Rhinolophus ferrumequinum: one gene and its partners. The main gene of each other region encodes a partner of the protein of the gene in region 3 in a complex. Links are inferred from orthologs where the notes say so. Each region holds a gene or a part of one and is shown on either strand. Other genes may lie near its edges. The genes, in order: MED7, MED18 and MED19.

Region 1 (7,168 bases), on a different chromosome or scaffold from region 3:
AAGAAATTTTTATGGGGCAGGCCTGGATTTTGACCCCCATATTCCACTAAGAACTTAGTCACATGGCATTACATAGATGCAAAGGGATTGGAGAAATGTAGTCCCTTGTAGGGAAGCCTTAGCTCAGCAACATATCTCAAGGGAGCAAGAATCAATCTCCAGTAAACATCTACCAGTCTCTGCCACCAAACCCCCTTCCCTGCTTTTCGCAGCTTCCAGCCTTAAGCAAGTCTGAGTTTAACTTTAAAGGAAATGTATAGCTAATTACATAGACATTTTAATTACTAAAATGTACGTTTGCACCTAAATGTGATCAAAGGAGTTTTACCTGAGTGACTGAAAAAAGTCATGGGACCCATCCAGGACAGGGACAAGAGGCTGAGACAGTGTATTTACAGAAACAGTCAGGAGGAAAAATAAAATTGCTGTTTTATAACTCTATGGGTATCTCTCCTTAAACATGTTACAATACTTTAGAAATTAAGCAAATTTTTAAGTAAAATCAAAGATTTCATAATTTCACATTTATACAGCTTAGTATCCTTTATTTACCTATCATTCTTAAAACAAATGACAAATCAACTTTTTTTGAGGATGAAAGCTTGCTATTATTGAGGATTATCTTCAACATTTACTGCAACTCCAAAAACAGGAATGGTCCACCCAACAGCAGCACTGTGATTTTTCAGCTGATGCCTCTGAATGTCATCATACTCATTTGTCTATGTTTGCCACAAAGTGAAACTACTGTCTGTGACATCTCCTAATTGATAAAGTTGGAAAGTGAAGCTGTTTACATAATTCCTACTCATCTCTCTTGTAGACTCTTCAAGAGCAAATTAACTAATATATGATGCTATTTACTGAAAGGGAAAAAAGAAGAAGAAGAAACATCCTTCACGGTCTTTCATTCATTTCATCAATTAGAACACACAAGGCAGCATCTTTTTCTATAATCTGGTCTCTTCGATGACCTGAATTTTCTCTTTGTTGTTCATTCTGTCCAGTACAATTGTTGCTATCATCAGCGTCCATTGGTTCAGTTTTTACTCTCATCCCTGCTTCTGAATGGGGCAAATCATCAGGCAAAGAAGCTAAGCAATTTTGAATCATCTCAATGACTCGTTCCAGATGCTTTTGAAACCGCTCAGCTGTTTCAAGGCGTTGACGTTTCTGCACCTCCATCATGACTCTCAAGGTCTCTCTTGCTTGGTGGGGTCGATATTCATTTATGAGATGATGCACATGTACAAAAAGCAGCTTAAGATCTTCTAGCTTCTCTTCTCGTTTTATACTCCCTGGGCTCCTTATCAATATATCTAAGAGGTCTAAGAAATTAATAAGGATAGACATATTGAGTTTTCTCAGTTCTTTCTTGTGATCAAACTGCATAGGATGAAGCCGTTCGATGCCCTGACTTTCTAAAGGGCGGATGATAAGATCATCACATTGGAACTGGTTGCCAAACATCATGTAACTGTCTTTTATTGGAGGTGGAGGCTTGGGGGCTAGGCCCTCCTGAATATTTTCATCTGTATACTCCTTGATGTACTGCATTGGAGGTGGTGGAAGGGCACTCACTTGCTGTGGCTCACCCATTGTGGAAGATCAATAACCTACAGAAATAGACCAAAGATTTAGAGTACCTGTACAAAACAAACCTGTCACATTGGGTGACTAGAGACAGAATTTTTGACAATCACAGTCCTCACTGCGTTCACAACCTTATACACAGGAGCTTCATAAATATTTGTTGAGGAGCTCCACCCATTTCAATAGGGCTCCAAATCAATGGGAATTTGGAAGTAGGTACAAACATCTTTAATGTGTACTCATTCCTTCATAAATTTATTGTTTGGTATGACAATGACTATACATAGATTATGATGACAGATAATATTTGAGTACATACTATGTACAGACACTGCTCTAAATACTTTTCTCATGGTTGTGAGAAATCTGAGAAAAGAAAGGCGCTCTTTCCATTTTAGAGATGAGAAAACTGTGGCTCAAAAAGGTTGAACCACTTGTGGTAAGTCATAGTGTAAATACTAGAGGAAGGATCCAGAGCCTAAAGATCTCAAACACTACACTAACTACCTTTCAAGGATAAACAAAAAACACTGCCTCCATCCCAGTGTTGCTTACAAGTTATCAAGAAAATAAATACGTTTTAAGGCCAATAGATCTACCTACCAAAAATAAATCTAACAGACAAAAGAATGGTGGTTATCAAAGGGAAAGAGGGTTGGGGGGAGGATAAAGAGGATAAAGGGTCAAATATATGGTGACGGAAGGAGATTAGACTTTGGGTGGTGGGCACACAATAGAATATACAGATGTTGTATTATGAAAATGTACATCTGAAACTTATATAATGTTATTAATTACCAACGACACCCCAATAAATTTAATAAAAATAAATCAATCTAAAAATTCCATATAGGAAAATATCTCATAAGCAAAAATAAAAGGTAATCCCATCTTTCTGGGAGAAGAATGCTTGCAAACTAACAAAGACCAAATATTAGAAATTTTATTTTGATTTTTTTAAAAACATGTTTTCTGACTCCATCCCCACTAGAAGGAAAGTACTATGACTTCAGGAATTGCCTATCTCATTCACAATTCACCTCCAGCACCTCAAACAATGCCTAGAAGGTGCTAGATACTTATAAAGGTCCACTGAATGAGTTTTAAGTCTACATTAAAAAAAGAAAATAGGCAAAAAGGACAAGAAAAATGCAAATGTTAAATAAAGGTGGGAAACTTAAGACTAATGTACTTTTAAAAGCAAATTTTTAAAAGGATAGCTTTCATCTAACAGACTATCAAGATTTCAAATATTCCATCATTCAGCAAATATAAGAACACCTTCTATGTGGCAGGTCCTGGATTCTAACAGAGGTCACAAACTCTCCTACCTCTCAGTTTCTTCAGAGTGGCTACCCCAATTTTATTAGCAGGCTTTTAGCTATCCTGGCCTGTCAGAGAAGCCTTCTGGGATGGAGAGCATCCACTCACCTTAGCTCTCATGGAAGCCACCATAAGGACTACCACGTAACACTTGTAGGTGGTAGGCCAGTACCACCCGAGAGAATATAGGAAATTCTCATTCACAATTGATAGAAAAGGAAACAAATACATATTTGGAATTTAATTTGGCAGTACCAAAAATTTTAATGATGATATTCTTTGAACCAACAATTCTATTTCTAGGTATTTATCTTATAAAAGTATTGGCACAAGCACACACACAAAAAAATTTGTATAAATATGTTTAACGTAGCACTGCTTGAAAAGAGTAGGAAAAGTTGGAATTAATCCATGGTTTTATCTATATGAAGGCTGGATAAAAGATGTCTACATAATACAATACAGCCATTAAGGAAAAAGGAGTGCAAGTGAGTGCATGGGGTGGGGCTTTATTTACAAACACTGTGTACTGTTTCATTTATTTACAAACTTATGACAGTTGCAAACAGTTACAATCAACTTTTTAAAACTTTCTAACAGAAATTCAGACTTACAGAAACACTGTATGAATAGCACAAAGAACATCTGTGTTCTTCACCCAGATTCTCCAAATGTTAACATTTTCCTTATTCGCCCTATTACCCTCAAATATCCCCCAACCATAATGTTCTCTTTTAAGGAATTTAATTACCAAATCAGAGAATTAGCATTGACCTGGCACTTCAACGGAAATGTTAGACAGCCCAGGTTTCACCCCACGCAAGCCTTTTTAGGTTGTGAGTCCTGTTTTGTGCTTCCCAGCACCACGTGCCTTCCTCTAGTATTTAAGTTGCCATTTTCCAAAGACCGACTACATGACAGGTACCATTGTTTTATGTTCTCTTACTTAATCTTCAGAACAATTCTGAGTGAAGCACTATTATTATTTTCACTAGAGATAAGGATCCCAAGTCTCCATGAGGGGAAATGTTTGCACCAGATCACAAGGTTAGTAAATGGTACACAGCGGGAATTCTTACCTCTGGTCCTTTTAGCTGCGCAGCACAAGTTCTTTGAAATCAGTAAACTGTGAAGCTTCTAACTGTACAAAAGGAACTTGATATGTTACAGAAATTCTGTTTATTTCTCCATTACTTCTCTCGACTGAACTACTCAAAAGCGATAGAGGTCTTTGGTAAAAATAATACCAGGTATCCTAGCCGGTGATCAGACTCAAGAGCCACCCTCCAGTTTGCTCCTTTCTGGGGGGCTTAACAAAAAAAGAAAGGCATTCCAGGGCCCCCCCCGCCCCGTCATGTCATCTGCTTCACTTTGTCTACAGTGAATGGGGCTGCTAACAAAGTAATTTTTAAAACCTCTCAGAGGATCCTTTTGACGATTAGCCTTGGGGTGTTCCCTGAAGAGGAAAGAGAGGAATGGCATCCTCCTCTTACAAAGGCCGGAGAGACCGAATAACTCGCCAAGGCCACACCGCTTAGCAAACCGGCGGCGCGGGACTAGAACCCACGTCTCCCAAGCTCCGGTCCAGCGCGGCCTCCCACACGGAGGAAGCGCCGAGCCCGGGCTGTCCACGAGCGGCGGGGAGGCCGCGCTCTCAGAGGGGACGCGGGAGAGGAAGGCGAGCGAGCTCACTGCGCGCCAGCCCCCCATTCCCAATCCGCCCAAAGTCTCGGGGTCCGGAAAGAGAAACACGCGCGGAACGGAGCCCCAAACCGTCGCCGCCCACTCACCTCAGCTCTGGGTTTGTTTACTCCGGTAGCGTCCTTCGCCACCGCCGCCGAAATTCTACTTCCGGCGTCGTCTTCCAGGAAAAACTCACTGACGCTCTTTCTTTATTGACTGAAAGAGCTGTCCTTTAACCGAGGCTCTAGCCCCGCCTCAGACCGCTGGCTCGCTACTACGCATGCGCCTACCCTGGCGCCTCATTCCCGCTGAGTTCCATTGGGTGGCGTGATCGCCGGCGGGGTTTAAAGTAGGCTAGGTCCTCTCTGTACTGGCTTCTATCAGTAAACGTCGCAGCTGGTAGCTCCGTTTCTCTTTTCTTTTTTCTTTTCTTTTTTTTTTAAATTAAACGAGGCATCTATATGTCTTACATAAAAGTTAGAAAATACAGATGAGCAGATATTTTTAAAAACTATGTCGATTCTAATTAACCCCACTGTCAAAAATATTTTAAAAGATGAGATTGGATTCTATGTGATATATATGTGTGTGTGTATATATATATATTTTTATATATGTTCCATATATTATATATATATATATATATGAATCTGGAAGTATTTGTGACCGTGATTGGGAATCAATAATACATTTTCAATTTCCTTTTCTTCACCGTTCACTTTTATTTTTGTTTAGGGATTAAGAGATGTCTATATTATTTCCGGGCAACAAATTAGCACGTTTAAAAAAAAAAAAACAGACTTAAAGTTTTCTTTTGGAGGTTATTTTCATTAGAAGTGTCACAAATTTCTAAATTCATGGGAATCTTACAAGAGCATGTTGCACGTAAAAAGTAAGTTTGTTATTCTGGTAGAAGTTCTCAATTTTACCTCTTTAAAATAAGAGTCTTTGATTTTATTTCTTAAAAACTTCTATGGAGAGTTCCAAATGTCAGCAAAAGGTCACTGCCACCAATTTAATGCCAACAGGAGTCCTCAGTCTAGGGTGCAGTAAGAGGAGAAACTGCTCAGGTAAACAGTTTGCAAAAGTGGGAAACACATAGGAAACCTAAATTGCACCCCACCCGGAAACAAACACAGAGGAGAAGCCACTTTATATTATAAAGTTCCTGCTCTAGTCCCTGATTGGTCCATTTCTATGCAAATGAGGGATCAAAATTTATAGAGTTTGATTGGTCTAAATAGCACTGTCCTGATTGGTCGGAATTACACGTTCCTATTGGTTGTTATGGACTTGCTCTGATTGGTCAGTAAAGTTGCAAATGAAACTATAGCTGTGCAATTCCCATTGGACAGGGCAGGTTTCAGCCCATTGGTGGAAAGACTATACCAGGAACTCCTTTATAAGGCTTGACTCACAGGCAGGAACACAGTACAAGACACTGTGTTTTTCCCCTGAGATGTAGAGTACCTGAGGGGCTTCTGTAGGCAATGGCTGCTAGACTCTGGTTATGAATTTGTACCCAGTTAACCATGATGAGTCCTTGGAAGATATTTTCTTTCTCAGGGTTCACACAAAAAAGTAGAGAGAACGGTGTACTCATCACCCAACTTCAACACTTATCTACTTATAGATATTATTTTATTTCCACAAGCATCACTGAAAGATAAGGACTCTCATTTTTTTCATATAACACAGAACTCACTTTAAAATAAATAGTTGCTGAATAGCATCAAAATCAAGTCAACATTTGGACACCAATTGCCTCAGGATCCAATAAAACCCTCCCCTTTTGTGACTGGCTAATATGTCTTTTAATTATGTTTTAATCTATAGTTTCCTGCCCTCACCTCAATTTTCCTCCCATATCAATTTATTTGTTGAAGAAATCCATTCACTTTTGAGCATACCCTAATCAGGCATCTCTCCCCACCAAAGATCAATGTGACCCACACCTGTGACCTCCAATGGTCATTCTTAGTTCTCATTTTACTCCACTCTCAGCAACATTGGGCATATTTGATCATTTGAATTGACCCAGGACTCAATTTTTACTTTTTAGTGGGATATCATCCAGGTGATAACATCCAGGTGATATGCAGGCTCTGGCAACACCCTCTCCTTTGCAGTCAGATCCCCTTATCCAACAGTATTCCACATATTTACTCAATTTCACTTCACTCAATTGCAAAAGCTCAAATCTAAAGATTCATCTTTTACTCTTTCTCCCATACTCTTTCAAAACTACCATAACAGCCTTTTGTATTAGTTCTATTTAGAAACAAGTAAAAGTCCCCAATACAGTATAACTCATTTTCACCATCTCCACTGCTATATTCCTAGTCCATGCCACCATTATGTCCCTTAGACTTCTGCAATAGCTTCCTAAATGGCTTCCTTGCTTCCACTTTTGTCCTCCCTTAGCCTACTTACCACACTGTCTTAAAATATAAGATAGATCTGACCAGTCCTCTGTTCAAAATTCTTCATGGTTTTCTATCATATTTACAATAAAATCTAATGTTCTCAATATAGCCTATGTAAGGCCCTACAGAATCTAGTCCCTGCC
Region 2 (7,168 bases), on a different chromosome or scaffold from region 3:
TCCAAGGTAGAAATTTAGACATTTGTGACTCCCTCTCCCTGTCTTTACCTGTTTACTCATCAAATGATTCTCTTATATTTTTAAAATCTGTCTTTTCTTCTGCAATTATCTCTCATTTGGAGTTGTGCCAAAGCTCCTAACTGGTCTTATTTCTCCAGGCCCTCCTTTCCGAAGCTTTTCTCCACATTGCAGCCAGAGTGAGCTCTTTAAAGCTCACATCTCTACTTTAGTCTGATGTGAAAAATCCTCCAGAATCTGGGCCCAACTCCTCCAGACTCATTTCTCATCCCTTCTAACCTCAGATTCTGTATCCTAATTCTATTGAACTCAATGACCTTATATACATGTTGTTCCCACTACCTAGAATTCCCTTTCCTCCCTTCTTTATCTGGCTGACACCCACCGTGAATCCCCGAAAATAAGACCTAACCGGAAAATAAGCCCTAGAATGATTTTTCAGGATGACATCCTCTGAACATCCCCCTAACGTGTCTTTTGGAGCAAAAATTAATATAAGACCCAGTCTTATTTTGGGGGAAACACGGTATTGTTCCTTCAGGTTACTTTAGGCATTAATTACTTTATTATTATTATTATTATTATTTATTATTTTATTGGGGAAGGGGAACAGGACTTTATTGGGGAACAGTGTGTACTTCCAGGACTTTTTTTTTTTTCCTAAGTCAAGTTGTTGTCCTTTCAATCTTAGATGTGGAGGGTGCCATTCAGCTACAAGTTGTTGTCCTTTCAGTCTTAGTTGTGGAGGGCGCAGCTCAGTTGCCATTGCTAGTTGCAGGGGGCGCAGCCCACCATCCCTTGCTGGAGTCAAACCGGCAACCTTGTGGTTGAGAGCCCACGCTTCAACCAACTGAGACATCTGGGAGCTCAGTGGCAGCTCAGCTCAGGTGCCATGTTCAATCTTAGTTGCAGGGGGAGGAGCCCACCATCCCTTGACGGACTCGAGGAATTGAATTGGCAACCTTGTGGTTGAGAGCCCACTGGCCCATGTGGGAATCGAACCAGCAGCCTTCGGAGTTAGGAGCAGGAGCTCCAACCACCTGAGCCACCGGGCCGGCCCCCATTAATTACTTTTTTAAAAAATAAATTTTATTGGGAAATATTGGGGGACAGTGTGTTTCTCCAGGCCCCATTAGCTCCAAGTCGTTGTCCTTCAATCTAGTTGTGGAGGGCGCAGCTCAGCTCCAATTCCAGTCGCTGTTTTCAATCTTTAGTTGCAGGGAACACAGCCCACCATACCAACCAGCAACCTTGTTTTAAGAGCTCACGCTGTAACCAACTGAGCCATCCGGCCACCCCAGCATTAATTACCTTTTCCAGGAATCCTCCCCTGATGCCCCCAAGATGAATCAAGCAAACTGGTTGTTTCCCAAGCAGCTGAGCTATTTATATTCCATTATCCTATTAAATCGAATCACATGGTACTGTCTCCGTTTAATTCTGATTGCCACAACTTGCCCATAAACCCTTTTGAGGGCAGAGATAAAGTCAACAACAGTTAACAGAATGTCTAGAACACAACAGACTTTCAAGAAATATTCAATTTAAAAAAATGAATGAATGGGCAGTAGTATAGATTCCAGTGGGGGAGCTAGAGCTAGAAGTGTCCGTTTAATGTAATAATTTAAGAGCTTGGGCTCTGGAATCAGCAGCTTAGATCTGTATCCCTGCTTCTCCACTCCCTCGCACGTTTTTTAACTTCTTGCCTACGTCTCCCCATCTGTAAAATTACAGGAATACTTGGCTTCTAGGGCTGCTGTGAAGATCCAAATTTGAAATTTTGATATTTTGTTCATTAATGGTTTTTTGGTATTAAATTTGTAAAATGTTGCATTAAAGTATTATTTATCTTAGTTACTGAGTTTTTTGGTGTCCCCTTAAATTTTTTGCTCCAGGAGAGTGCCTCATTCACTTAACTTTAGTCCCCACTTTGTCCGCCCTCTCCTATCTGCATGACACATAAGTAGCGTTCAATAAATACTCGTTGAATTTACTTAACACTCTATATTTTTAAATTGAAGTTAAAATATACACAGTAAAGTGAACAAATATTAAGTGTATTGTTGAGCTCTTTAATTGTTCAGAACATTATGCTAAGCAGCAAATGTCTTTTCTTTTCACCTTCAGGTACCCAACAAAAAGTCTTTGTTTTATAAATAGTCTCTCTTTATTCTGCAGCTCCCTTCCCCAGGCTCTCTTCCCCCCCTCGTCAGTTCCAAGAGATTTCCTAGACAAAAACATCTCCAGGTCGTCGAACTAGAAAAAAAAAAAAATGTCCTGGAGGACAGCCTATGACGTCAAGGTTTTCCCTCCACCCCGTAACTCCCAGAAGAACGCTTCCACGGAGGCCGCCATCTTCCAAGCAGCAGTGTCGCATCTTGCGCATGCGCTTCTGCTTGCCGGTCAAAGAGCGATTTCAAGCCCTGTCGGTACCCTTAGGCTGCGCGGCGGCGGCGGCGGTGGGGAGGTTTGTACTACGTCGGCTTCTTGGCCGGAAGCGAGAAGAGGAGGAAGGAGTGTTGCAATGTCCAGGGGTTTGAATTTTAAGGCGGGGGGCTAATTGTCGCTCTTAAGCTTAGAAATGCTTGGGTAGATATAATTCTCCGCTTTATGAGAAGAGGGTAGAGCGCGCACGGAGGTGTAAGTGGTCACGTGTTCTCGATGCTGGTTTAGGAGCACCTAAACCATCATCTTAACTTCGCGCTTCCGCCTGGCTCGCTTTAAAAGCCGTTTTCAGAGAGGCGGAACGCCCGGATTTTATTCTGGTGCGCGCTCTGCTACCAGTTGACTGTGTCCTTGGGCTCTTCTCCGCTGCTCAGTATCCTTCCTCATCTATATATTGAAGGACAGGCAAGTCCCTTAGTCACCGTTCAGTTTTTCTGAGTATTATTATATGTCCATTATGTCATCTGAGCCAGAAAGTCTTGGGGGCTAAATATCGTTGACCCCATTTTACAAGGAAGACGTTGAGTCCCAGGGTGAGAGGTTTGATGACTTCTTCAAGATTGAACAGAACGTTTGTAAAGATTTCAGACCTTGAGGGTAGAAAATTGTGCTCTAACTCCGTGGTCGGGTTTCCTTTGTGTATTTCTATATCATTAGTTCCTGAAACTGGACCATAGCAGTTACTCAAAAAGTTTTGAGTGAACCAGTGAATCTTGATGTTAAGACCAATGACAGAAGCAGATCTGGTGTCTTTACCTCTCTGATGTACTAAGTAGTGTAATTCTTCTCCAGGTGTATCCTGTGCTTTTCTTGATTGGGGACTCGGAATCCAGTCTAAATTCTTCAACTTAATTAGACACCATGGAGGCACCTCCGGTCACCATGATGCCTGTCACTGGAGGCACCATTAACATGATGGAGTACCTGCTGCAGGGTAAGTGAACCTGAGCGCTTGGATTACCTGTTTTCCTCTTTTCTGTTCAGCTTCTGTGGAGATGAGAGCCTGTTAGGCCAAAGCAGCCTGCGTAACCCAATAGACTTTTTTAAAAAAGTTTACTTTTATTTATGGTCACAAACGCATAACGTTAAATTTACCATCTTAAACATTTTCACATCTACAGTTCAGCAGTGTTACGTATATTCACATTGTTGTATAGATGATCTCTAGAACTTTTTCATCTTGCAAAACTGCAACACTATACCCATGAAACACTTAATTCCCCTCCTTCCCACCCCCAGCCCTTGGCAACCACCTTTCTACTTTCTGTTTTTGATTTTGACTACTTTAGATACCTCCTATGAGTGGAATCATAGAACTTTAGTCTTTTTATGACAGACAGGCTTATGTCACTTAGCCTCAAGTCATCCATATTGTAGTATGTGACAGGATCCCCTTCTTTAAGGCTGAATAATATTCAATTTTATGTATATACCACATTTCTTTACCTGTACATCTGTTGATGGACATTTGGATTGCTTCCACCTCTTGGTTATTGTGAATAATGCTGTAATCAACATGCGTGTGCAAATATCTCTCCAAGATCCTGCTTTGAATTCTTTTGGATATATACCCAGAAGTGGGATTGCTGGATCATATGGTAATTCTATGATACTCTTATTAGTTAGCTCCATCTTATAGATCAGGAAACAGGTAAAGTAACTTGCCCAGAGGAGAAAACTCGAGACCCAGAAAGGTTAATGATTTTCAGAAGGTCATATAATGTTTAGTGAAAGAGTTTAGGCTTTAATTCAGATCCTTCATTTAGTAACTTCATATGAACAAAATAGGGTTATTAATTTTCACTCCTCAAGCTCCTCCTCTTTCGGTCTTTCCCGTTTTGGTAAGAGCCACTGCCATTCACCAGTTGCTTGAGCCAAGCATTCAGGAGTCAATCTCCATTTTTTCCTTTATCCTACATCTAGTATATCTCTAAGTCCTATTCATTTTACTTCCAAAATATACTTTAAATGTGTCTTTTCTCCACCTGCAGTACCACACCCTGGTTTATCATCCCTGAATTGTTTTAGCAATCTCTCACTTACTACATTGCTTCTACTTTTGATCATTTCTTCTCACACAATAGCTAGTCATCTTTTAAAAACTTGTTTTATTATTCAAAAATTCAAACATATAGAAAATAGAGACTATTATAGTAGACACTACATTTCCATCATCTAGATTTCAGTTTCCATAATTTTGCCATATTTGCTTCATCTTTTTTCTTTTGCTGTTTTTAAAGAAAATTTCAGACCTCATAACATTTTATCCCTGGACACTTCAGTATACATCTCTTTAAAAAAAGTATATTTTCCTTCATAACCCCAATACCATCATTATTATCTTAAAAAATGAATAATATATTTTTAGTATCATCTAATACCTAGTCTATATTCAAAAATTTCCCCCTAATTGTCCCAAAAATGTGATTTGTAACCAGGATGCAATCAGGTTTAATGCATTACGTTTGATAATTGTGTCTTTTAAGTCTTTTAATTTGGACCAGTCTACCTTTGCCCCCACTTTTTTCCCCCATGACTGTGTCTTGGTGGAGTCCATCAGTTTTCCTGGAATTAGTTATTTTTATTTTTATTGGGGAATATTGGGGAACAGTGTTTTTCCAGGACCCATCAGCTCCATGTCAAGTTGTTGTTTCCTCATTGTTTTCAATCTAGTTGTGGAGGGTGCAGCTCACTGGCCCATGTGGGAATCGAACCTGCGACCTTGGTGTTAATGAGCACCACACTCTAACTACTGAGCCAGTCAGCTGCCCTGGAATGATCTTTTTAAGATGTAAATCTATTCATGTCTTTCCCTATTGTGTGGAGAATAAAATGTGGAACTAATAGCTGCCCAATGACCTTAGAATAAAATGCAGCCTTTATCATGGACCATATGTAAGGCCTGCAGGCTTTGGCCCATGGCAATTCCTCATTTCATTATCATTTGCCATCTCACTCACTACACTTCAGCCACACTGATATCCTTTCATTTCCTTAAGTTCCTCAGGCCCTTTTCTTATTCTGTGCTTTTGCATTTGATTATCCCTCTGCCCCAATACCTTTTTCAAATAAACACCTTATTTTTATCCTGGTCGCAGCTCAGTTGTCATTCCCTTAGATCTCTCACTATTCCAACCCCTCAGGGAGGTGTCTTTCTCCACCCCCACCCGTTGTTCTCTAACCCATCTCCCTTTTACTTCTTTGTGTGTCTGTTTATATGTTTACTTAATTATTTTTTATTTTCCCCTACTAAACTGTAGTTTCTGTGAGGGCAAGCCCCCTACTTCCTAGCATAGCTTGGCAAAGCATTCAATGAGTATACTTTGAATGAACCAACGCTTACAAAGCTCATCAACTGTTTGAAGAATGAACAAACATATTTTTGATACTGTCCTAAATATATGCTACAATGTATCAAATGTAGGATCCATTTCCTGCTCCGGTGATCTTGTGCTATGATAACTGAGACCTAATCTGTTGCTTTTCCTTCAACATTACCAATTTCCAAAAATTTAGTCAAGTGAGTCCTCCTATCAATATTTTCCACAGTTACGATCATATACTCTATTTGCTTTATTACTCTATTAACAGATGTATTCAATAAATATTTGAATGTGTTCCTACCATTGGAGTATCAGAAATGGAGGAAGAAAGATAACAAAATCAATCCATAATTAATATATTAAAGGATGACTAAACCAAAGGTGGTAATGTTAAAGAAAAATAAAGCAGGGAAGTGGGAAGAAATTGAAGGAAAATATACTATTTTTTTTAGGGTGATCAGAAAGATCTCTCTAATAAAATAACACTTGAGAAAACATCTAAAGAAAGTCATGAGATGAGGTATGCAGATATCTGAGAGAAGAATATTCTAAGCATAGGGACTAAAGGATGGGGGACTAAAGAGAAATACTTTGTCAGATACTTGGCATTTTCAGGAAATAGCAGGAAGATCGCTGTAGCTGGAGAGCGTGAACTAGGTAGGGGGGATAGTGAGAGGAAATGATGTTGGAGAGGTAGCAGAGACCACAATCTATAGGGCCTTATAGACGATGGTAAAAACTTTGGGATTTATTCTGAATGGCGTGGGAAGCCACTGGAGGGTTCTGAGCAGAGGAATGTCATTATCTACCTTTTGTTCTAAAAAGACCACTTGTCAGTTGTATGGAGAAGAGAGGGAGAAGGCAAGGGTAGAAGCAGGGTATTGCAAAGACCAGTCAAGAAATGAAGGAGGCTTGGACTAGGTGGAAGTGACTGAGGGAGTGAGAAGGGTTGGATTCTGCATATATTTAAAAATTTTTGATTGGATGTAGGATATGGGAGAAAGAAGGGAGTCGAAGATGATTCTGTAGGTTTTGGCCTGGGCAACTGGAAATAGAGAGTTGCCATTTACTCTGCTGGGGAATACTGCAGCAGGAATAAGATTGTGTGGAGGAAAAATCAACAGTTTGATATTGAACATATCTAGATGAAGATGTGTGTTAGGCATCCAAATGGAGAAGTTGAGTGGACAGTTGGATTGAGTGGATAGTTAGATGTATGAGTCTGTAGTTCATGAGATATCAACGTGGGAGTCCTCAGGACATAAATGATATTTAAAGCCATAGGACCTAGTTAGGTCACCTAGGGAGGCGAAATTGTTGCTAGAGAAGAATAGTAGAGTCCTAGGAGCCTCCAATATTTTGGGAAGATAAGGAAGACCAAG
Region 3 (7,168 bases):
TATTAGTCCCAAGAGTAGAAAATTGTTAAGTCACCCAGAGGGACTATATTTTAGCCTAAATAAGGAATCCTTCAAGTGAGAATTACTAAAATATTTAAATTTATTTTTAAATAATAGCAAAAGTAAATAACATGAACTAAAACCACAATACTAAAGAAGGGTAGGTTGGAATGGGAATGAGGGGAAAAAAGGCAAAAATCCAAATAGGGCAGAGATGGAAACTGCTCTCACCCAAAGAAGAAGACACTTCTCTCCTTGGACTAAGCACAATAACTTCCATGATGCTTACTCTGTGCTGAACACTGATCTGAGTGCTTTTCATAGAAAGGGATAGTGCGAAATTATACTCCCTAACACGACCGGGATAGTAGTACCTCACAGCCCAGCTACAACCAAGCTAAGAGCCAAATATGACCCAATGGCTTCCTTTTTTTTCTCTCCAAACACTGATCACCTTTACACAGAAAAAACAGCCAGGAGATTTTTCTAGCTACTGTTGTCTAACTTATTATCACCATCTTTATTCCTCCTCATAATAATGAGTATAATGCTTTGCCTAGAAAAAAGAAATGTTTGATTAGAAGCTGGGCAACTAGAATTCTAATCCTAGATGTCCTCTATGCCTCAGTTTCTTATCTATGGAATGTGGTAATAACTATCTTAAGTGCGTTAAATTTTTTTGCAAGGTTCAAATGAAAACATACTGAAAAATATAAAGTATTATATAAATGTGAGGCAATCTCAGCATAAATATTGTATATCTGACTTTTGCCAAATAATGTAAACTCATTAGTAATTTAATAAGGATCCCAGTGGCAAGGGTGGGAATATCTAGCCTACAAGTTCATCTAGAGTTATGATAAACACAAAGGGTAAAATGACAAAAGTTGCTTGTTTATAATCCTTCACTTGGGAAAACTCAGGTTCTGAACTGTGAGCCCTGAGGGCAGACAATGCCTTGTTCACTCATGTATGGCTGATGCCCAAACCAGCCACACTTGGTGCTCAATAACTATTAAATGAACAAGGAATTTTTTTCCCTTCATACCTCTAGGCATTACCCTATTCTTTTTCTGTATTTTCATATCAAACATCTCAGAAAAGTGATCTGTTACTATCAGAGGCTCAGTGCCACACTGCCTTTCCTCATAACTTGGCACTACCTTATGCCATTACAGTGTCCTGAGTTCCCCCGCCCCAGTCAGCTCTCCTCCTTCCAGGTGGTTATGCTCAAGGCTCAGGTGAAACGGCACTTTGCTATTTCTGAGTCCATCCAACTTTCTATCAGTTCTATGAAGATGATTTATAAATCTCTCTCTCCGGCCCTGACTCCTTTCCTGAAAACTAATCTTGTATTTCCAACTTCCACTTAGTCAATTCCATGCAGATTCTATTTTTTTTTTAAAACTCTGAATCTTCCTCACTTCATTGATGGTTTCTCTATTTCAATACATGGCACACCCATTTTCGAGATATTTTTAGAAGCAATACTCCTCAGTTCAAAAATCAGTGGTTTCCTATTACTCTCAGGAAAAAGCTCAATTCCTTTGACTGGCACTCATGGTTAAACACATCTTACTGTAACTTAGCTTTGGGGCCCACTCAACCATCAGTCCCCTATGCAAACTTTCTGATCCATCCAAAATGGGTCTCCATTATCTCCTGAAAAAAAAACAAAACACCCTCATAGTGTTTCCTTTTAAGAAATTTCTGTCAGGAAAATTTCTGTTAGGACCTAATTATAGGAAAATTCTTCCTAATATTCCTCACCAATACATGAATTCTTCAAAGTCCAGTCAAGTGACAACTTATTCTTGCTGTCATCTTTTTTTTTTTTTAAGGAGGGCACAGCTCCCAGTGGCCCATGTGGGGATCGAACTGGCAACCTTGGTGCTACCAGCACCACCCTCTAAACAACTGAGCTAACTGGCCACCCTTCTTGCTGTCATTTTGGATAACAAGGAACACATTTTGAAAACCATCATGTAGTTCTTAATAGTTGCCCTATGTGAGGCATGACCACAAAGTAATGAGATTGGCCTTGACAAGAAATATGGTCACTGTCCTCAAACCACATAATTTGCATCCCTAAGTAAAATAAGCTTTTAATCTCTCTTCTCACCACATGCCCCCACCTTTCTACACACCCCGCGTTTGTCCAGAATATCTATTCAACATCTGTCAATTAATTGAGATACAATCAGAACTGGTAAGGATAAAGAAACTGCTGGTAGACATCAACCACCAACCAACCAAAGGGAAGTCAACCTCTTTATACTTGTTTTTTAAACTATAAAGTGAAGATAATGTCTACTTCAGAGGGCTATTCTACGTATTAAATTCATTATTATTTCCCTCGACTGGTGATGTAGCAGTAGGACTTGGGATTAACTGAAAGGCATGTTGGAGTCTTAACTTGTTCAGAATGACTCTTGACTTGCACCTCTTCAAACTTGTTCCTTCCTGGTCTCCATACTACCGTCCGCTCAATTATTCAGGCCAAGAATTTACAAGTCATCCTTAACTCCTCTCTTCCTTATTTTTATATTCAGTCCTTCATTCCAGTCAGCTCTAACTTATCTTGTATGCATTCATTTGTGTCCTCTACTGCTATCATTTAGTCCAAACCATGATCTCTTAACTGGATTACTGAGCAGTTTAACTTCTGATTGATTCCCTCACATTCCATCCCTTGTGTAGCTGCTTGAATGATTAAAAATAAGTCAGATTATGTCACCATCCTGTGTTAAAATGGATTCCCCCTGAACTTAAAATCTAAATGCTTTATAAACGCCTCTGCCTGCCTGGCCCACCTATATCTTCTGTCACTCTTTCCCTGTTCACGTCACTGGAGTCCAAATGGTTTTCTATCCTTTCCAAGCTTTTTCTCACATCAGGGCTTCTGATTTCATTTCTTGTATTTAGAATTATCCCTCTCACTCCTACATAGCTGGCTCTTTTTCTATGCTTCCATTTTAGCTCAAATGGTACCTACTCAGCAAGGGCTTCTCTGATCACTTTAGCTAAAGTAGTTGTGTCCCCTTAATTCTTTGACGTGTTTTTTTTCCTTGTAGCACTAACCACTATCTGCTGTTAATCTGGTTTACTCTGCGTTCCCCCACTGAAATGTAAACTCCAAAAAAAGCAAGGATCCTGTCAGTCTCGTTCACAGTTGTATCTTCAGCATTTAGAACAGTGGTACACAGCAAATGCTCAACAAAATCACTTTCTGAAAGAATCTGATTTAATTTAATTCTGTCACTTCTTCAAACAGATGAAGAAACGCTGAGACCCTGAGGGTAACATGTTCCAAATCAAGAGCAAGTTTGTGACAGATTTGAAACGAAAACCTCAGGACCACAGTGATGTTGAATCGGGACTCTCGAGTTCCAAACTCACTCTGGATAATTTTTAGGGAACCATAATAAACCAGTGTCAGGGACAACGAACGGATATAGCGTGAAAAATGGTTACGGAGATGCATTCTCTTCCCACCTTGAATCCACCCCAAGACTCACGTCATCGGTTTGGTTGTGAATTCTCAGAGGCCTTTGGACTTAGAGCTCCAAGGGCCTAACACGCGTTGTCTAGGTTACCTTGCACCTCCGCCGGCCGGCTAAGACCCACGCCCATCACCCCCTCCTTAGGATCTGATTGGCTGGCTACGGCCAGGCCTAGTACTCACCTGGCAGTTCCCTCATTAGGTAGAAGGGACCACAACCAGCTGCTGACTTGTCGGCGCCGGGAGGGGCCGTGACCGTGGTGGGGGGCGGAGCCGTGCCAGGTCCCCCGCCTGGAGGAGGGGGAGGCGGGGGTGGAGGTTTTCCTGGTCCGAAGCCGAGTGCGGCTGGAGGCGGGGGTGGGTCAGCCTGAGCTCCGAACAGCGCCGTGAAATTCTCCATCTTCCCCTCTACTCCGGCGCTGTCCGGGTGTCTGGCGCTAGTGGTTTTCATTGGACAATCTTTTCACGGTGTACCGCCCTCTTCCTCCGTGAGCCGCTTATCATTGGATGTCTTGGGGCCCGCCTACTTTTTCCGGCAACTACTTCCGTCGCTTTCTGAGCACGTTCAGGATGTGCTATCTCACCCTATTAATTTCTCTGTTGTTTCCGCTCGTCACAGTCACATATCCAATAAAATGACTTAGGTGGAAAAAACGACAGTTAGGTTGACCAATAAAGTGTGAAATCCGTTTTTCAGGTCCTCCCTACTGTAGTGGCCAATCATAGATACACTTCCGGGTCCGGAGGCGGTGCATCCGAGACTAGGCCCAATGGAAGTCTCAATGGTGGGAGAGGCGGGGCCAGACTTATCGACCCTGAAGAGCGGCGAGCGCCCCGGGGCCAAGAAGATGGCGGTCCTGGCACCTTTAATTGCTCTGGTGTATTCGGTGCCGCGCCTTTCACGATGGCTGGCCCGACCTTACTACCTTCTGTCTGCCCTGCTCTCTGCTGCCTTCCTTCTCGTGAGGAAGCTGCCCCCGCTCTGCCACACTCTCCCCACGCAACGCGAAGATGGCAACCCGTGTGACTTTGACTGGGTGAGCGACCCCCACCTTAGGACCCCGCGACCTTGACTGTCCTTTCCCCCGCTATTGCATCCAGGGGCCCCGAAGTTTCCGTCTTTGAGAACTCACACCTGAGTTTTTCAAACTCTAGCCGACTTACCATTAAGAGCATGGGGCCTGGACCGTCATCGAGTCTAAATTTCTTCATGTTTAATTAAGATGGGAAAACAGCAGATTAGCCTGCATAACAGCCTGGGCCTTCTGATTCTTGAGTCCAGGGTTTTTTTCATCTTACCATTCATACTCGTCAACAGCACTCCCCAAACTCTACACACCTATGTACAGTCTTTTACAGTGCTGCTCATGTGTAAAGCCACTTAAGGAGCCGGGTAGATAAACAAGGCAAGTAGTAGTATTTCCTTTTTATTGGTGAAGAAATGATTTCTGCGTGATTAGGAGACTTGCCCTAGGTCACACAACGAGTGGGTGACTGGGATTGGGAACCTCTCTTCTGGCCATAGGACCTGCACACTCTTAATCACCCATTTCTTCGTTAACATTTCCTGAATGAGTGCTATATGCTAGGCACTGTGGTGCATCCCGAGGCTGCCAAAATGAATAAGGATGCCAAAATGAATAAAATTGTTAGGCTTATCGGAAAGGAATTGTAAAACATCCTAAAGAAATCTGTCTCAAGCCTCTTGCTGCACTTCCTGAGTAGGAGTGAAGGGACCACTTAGACAAATGAACTGAAGCTCTACGCCCTCTGCTGTATGGCAGCATCTGTGTTCTGAGGAAGGAGGGTCACCCTGAGTTTTTTGTCTTTTTTCCATTCCTCCCCCCAAAAATGAGCCTTGAACTTTACCAGAACTCACTCCCTTACTTTTATTCTCCATCCCTTGTTTACTCTTTCATACTTCCTCTGCCCTTTCCCAGACAGTATTATTAATTAGCTCAAGTGTAGCCATGCTACTGCAAAAGATTCCTGTTTTTATCTGATATTATATACCACTAACCAAAGTGGGACTCAAAAATATAAATGCAGGGCGCGTTTAAAGTCTGGCTTCCCAGCAGTTGTTACAGTTTGGGCTCAAATAAACTGATAAACATTCTCTAAAAACAGCAAGGAAAAAAAAAGTATACACACAGACGCACACACACACACATATAAAGATTTCAATAAGTGTAAGGACATTTTATATAATTAATTTATCTGTGTACTCTAGTATGCAAAATACTGGAAGGTTTTATATTTTGTTATTACTCTGGTACAATTTTCTTTTAACTACAGATGGTCCTTGACTTACGATTTTTCAACTTTAGAGTGGTGTGAAAGTGATATACATTCAGTAGAAACCATGCTTCGAGTTTTGAATTTTGATCTTTTTCTAGGCTAGCAGTATGTTTTATGATACTCTGTCGTGATTCTGGCCAGTGGCATTGAGCCATAGCTCCCAGTTACCCACGCCTTCAAGAGGGTGAACAACCGATACTCTATTGTGTAGTATTAAATACCTTTTCAACTTATGATATTTTCAATTTTAATGATGGGTTTATCGGGTTCATCGTGAGTCGTGGAGCATCTCTACTTAGGGTTGATATCCAGTGTTTTCCTGGAAAATCTGTGCTTTACTGAATCACCTTGGTGATTGGGAAGTTAGGATATTAGAGTAAATAATGTTAGCAATAACAGGTCAACCTCAAATTTTCAGTGGCTTAACAGAATAAAAGTTGATTTCTATTTTCTTAAAATAAAAGGAAAGAATCAAGCATTTTACTTTTCTTGTATACTATCTCAACATAACCATATAATTAATAAGGGAATGTTCGTATCTTAACAGGAGAATTTGAGCTAATAAATACAGAAGGAATGATCGAATTTAAAAATCATTTAGCAAACCCTAATGAAATAATAAACCTAGGCATTGATTGTCTGTGGATACTGACACCATCATACAGAAGGTTGATAGGTCCTCTGAAGGGATGGAATAGAGAGTATCTAGCACCACCTACGATGTATTTTTGGCAAAAGATTGGGGTTTTATTGTATTCAAACCTCTAGATTTCACTGCCACTTTACAAGAAATATGGGAGACAGATCATCATCAGAACAAATACCGTAAGTGTGCGAGCAGCCAAATCCAGAAAGTGGGAAAGCTGACACTGCAACTGACTCAATTTCTTCAACAAATAACTAGCTTGGGGTAAAAAGGAAAAGCAGTTATCCTTTAGAGACTAAGGAAGACCTTAATCAGCCAAAAGTAATGTGTGCATCTTGCTTGCTTGTTCCTGATTTAAGCAAACAACTGTACAAAGACAATTTGAGGTAATTGGGATCATTTGAATAAGGACCAAGTATTAGATGACATTAAGGAATTATTAATTGTGTTAGGTATGATACTGGTATTTTGGTTTGTTAAAAAAAGGTCCATATCTGTGAGATACACACTGAAGTATTTACAGGTGAAATGATATAGTTGGAATTTGCTTTTAGTTTCTCCAGCAAAAAACGTGGCTAGCATAGACGAAATGGAAGCATTTTGGCAAAATGTTACTGTTGAAGCTGAGTAATAGAGCTTCATTAAAGTATTGTACAGGAGGAAAAATAGTTTCCCTCTATCCTTCTGAGGTCTTGGCTGAGACCGCTGTAATAAAAGACAAA

Evidence for each region.
Region 1: MED19 (region 3) and MED7 share a complex: the UniProt entries of both Homo sapiens proteins name them as parts of the mediator complex. The link is inferred for Rhinolophus ferrumequinum from reciprocal best matches to the Homo sapiens genes MED19 and MED7.
Region 2: MED19 (region 3) and MED18 share a complex: the UniProt entries of both Homo sapiens proteins name them as parts of the mediator complex. The link is inferred for Rhinolophus ferrumequinum from reciprocal best matches to the Homo sapiens genes MED19 and MED18.

Annotation. Positions count from the first base shown.
Region 1 is NC_046307.1:27,383,064-27,390,231, forward strand, and holds MED7 (mediator of RNA polymerase II transcription subunit 7), read right to left. Parts: upstream 4,842-7,168; 5' UTR 4,707-4,841; intron 4,058-4,706; 5' UTR 3,996-4,057; intron 1,617-3,995; 5' UTR 1,600-1,616; coding exon 898-1,599; 3' UTR 405-897; downstream 1-404. UniProt on the Homo sapiens protein: Component of the Mediator complex, a coactivator involved in the regulated transcription of nearly all RNA polymerase II-dependent genes.
Region 2 is NC_046292.1:19,450,289-19,457,456, forward strand, and holds the start of MED18 (mediator of RNA polymerase II transcription subunit 18), read left to right. Parts: upstream 1-2,467; 5' UTR 2,468-2,658; exon of another isoform or gene 2,659-3,255; 5' UTR 3,256-3,324; coding exon 3,325-3,397; intron 3,398-7,168. UniProt on the Homo sapiens protein: Component of the Mediator complex, a coactivator involved in the regulated transcription of nearly all RNA polymerase II-dependent genes.
Region 3 is NC_046294.1:11,475,980-11,483,147, reverse strand, and holds the start of MED19 (mediator of RNA polymerase II transcription subunit 19), read right to left. Parts: upstream 4,038-7,168; 5' UTR 3,954-4,037; coding exon 3,686-3,953; intron 1-3,685. Other genes in the region: TMX2 (thioredoxin-related transmembrane protein 2), read left to right, coding at 4,273-4,539. UniProt on the Homo sapiens protein: Component of the Mediator complex, a coactivator involved in the regulated transcription of nearly all RNA polymerase II-dependent genes.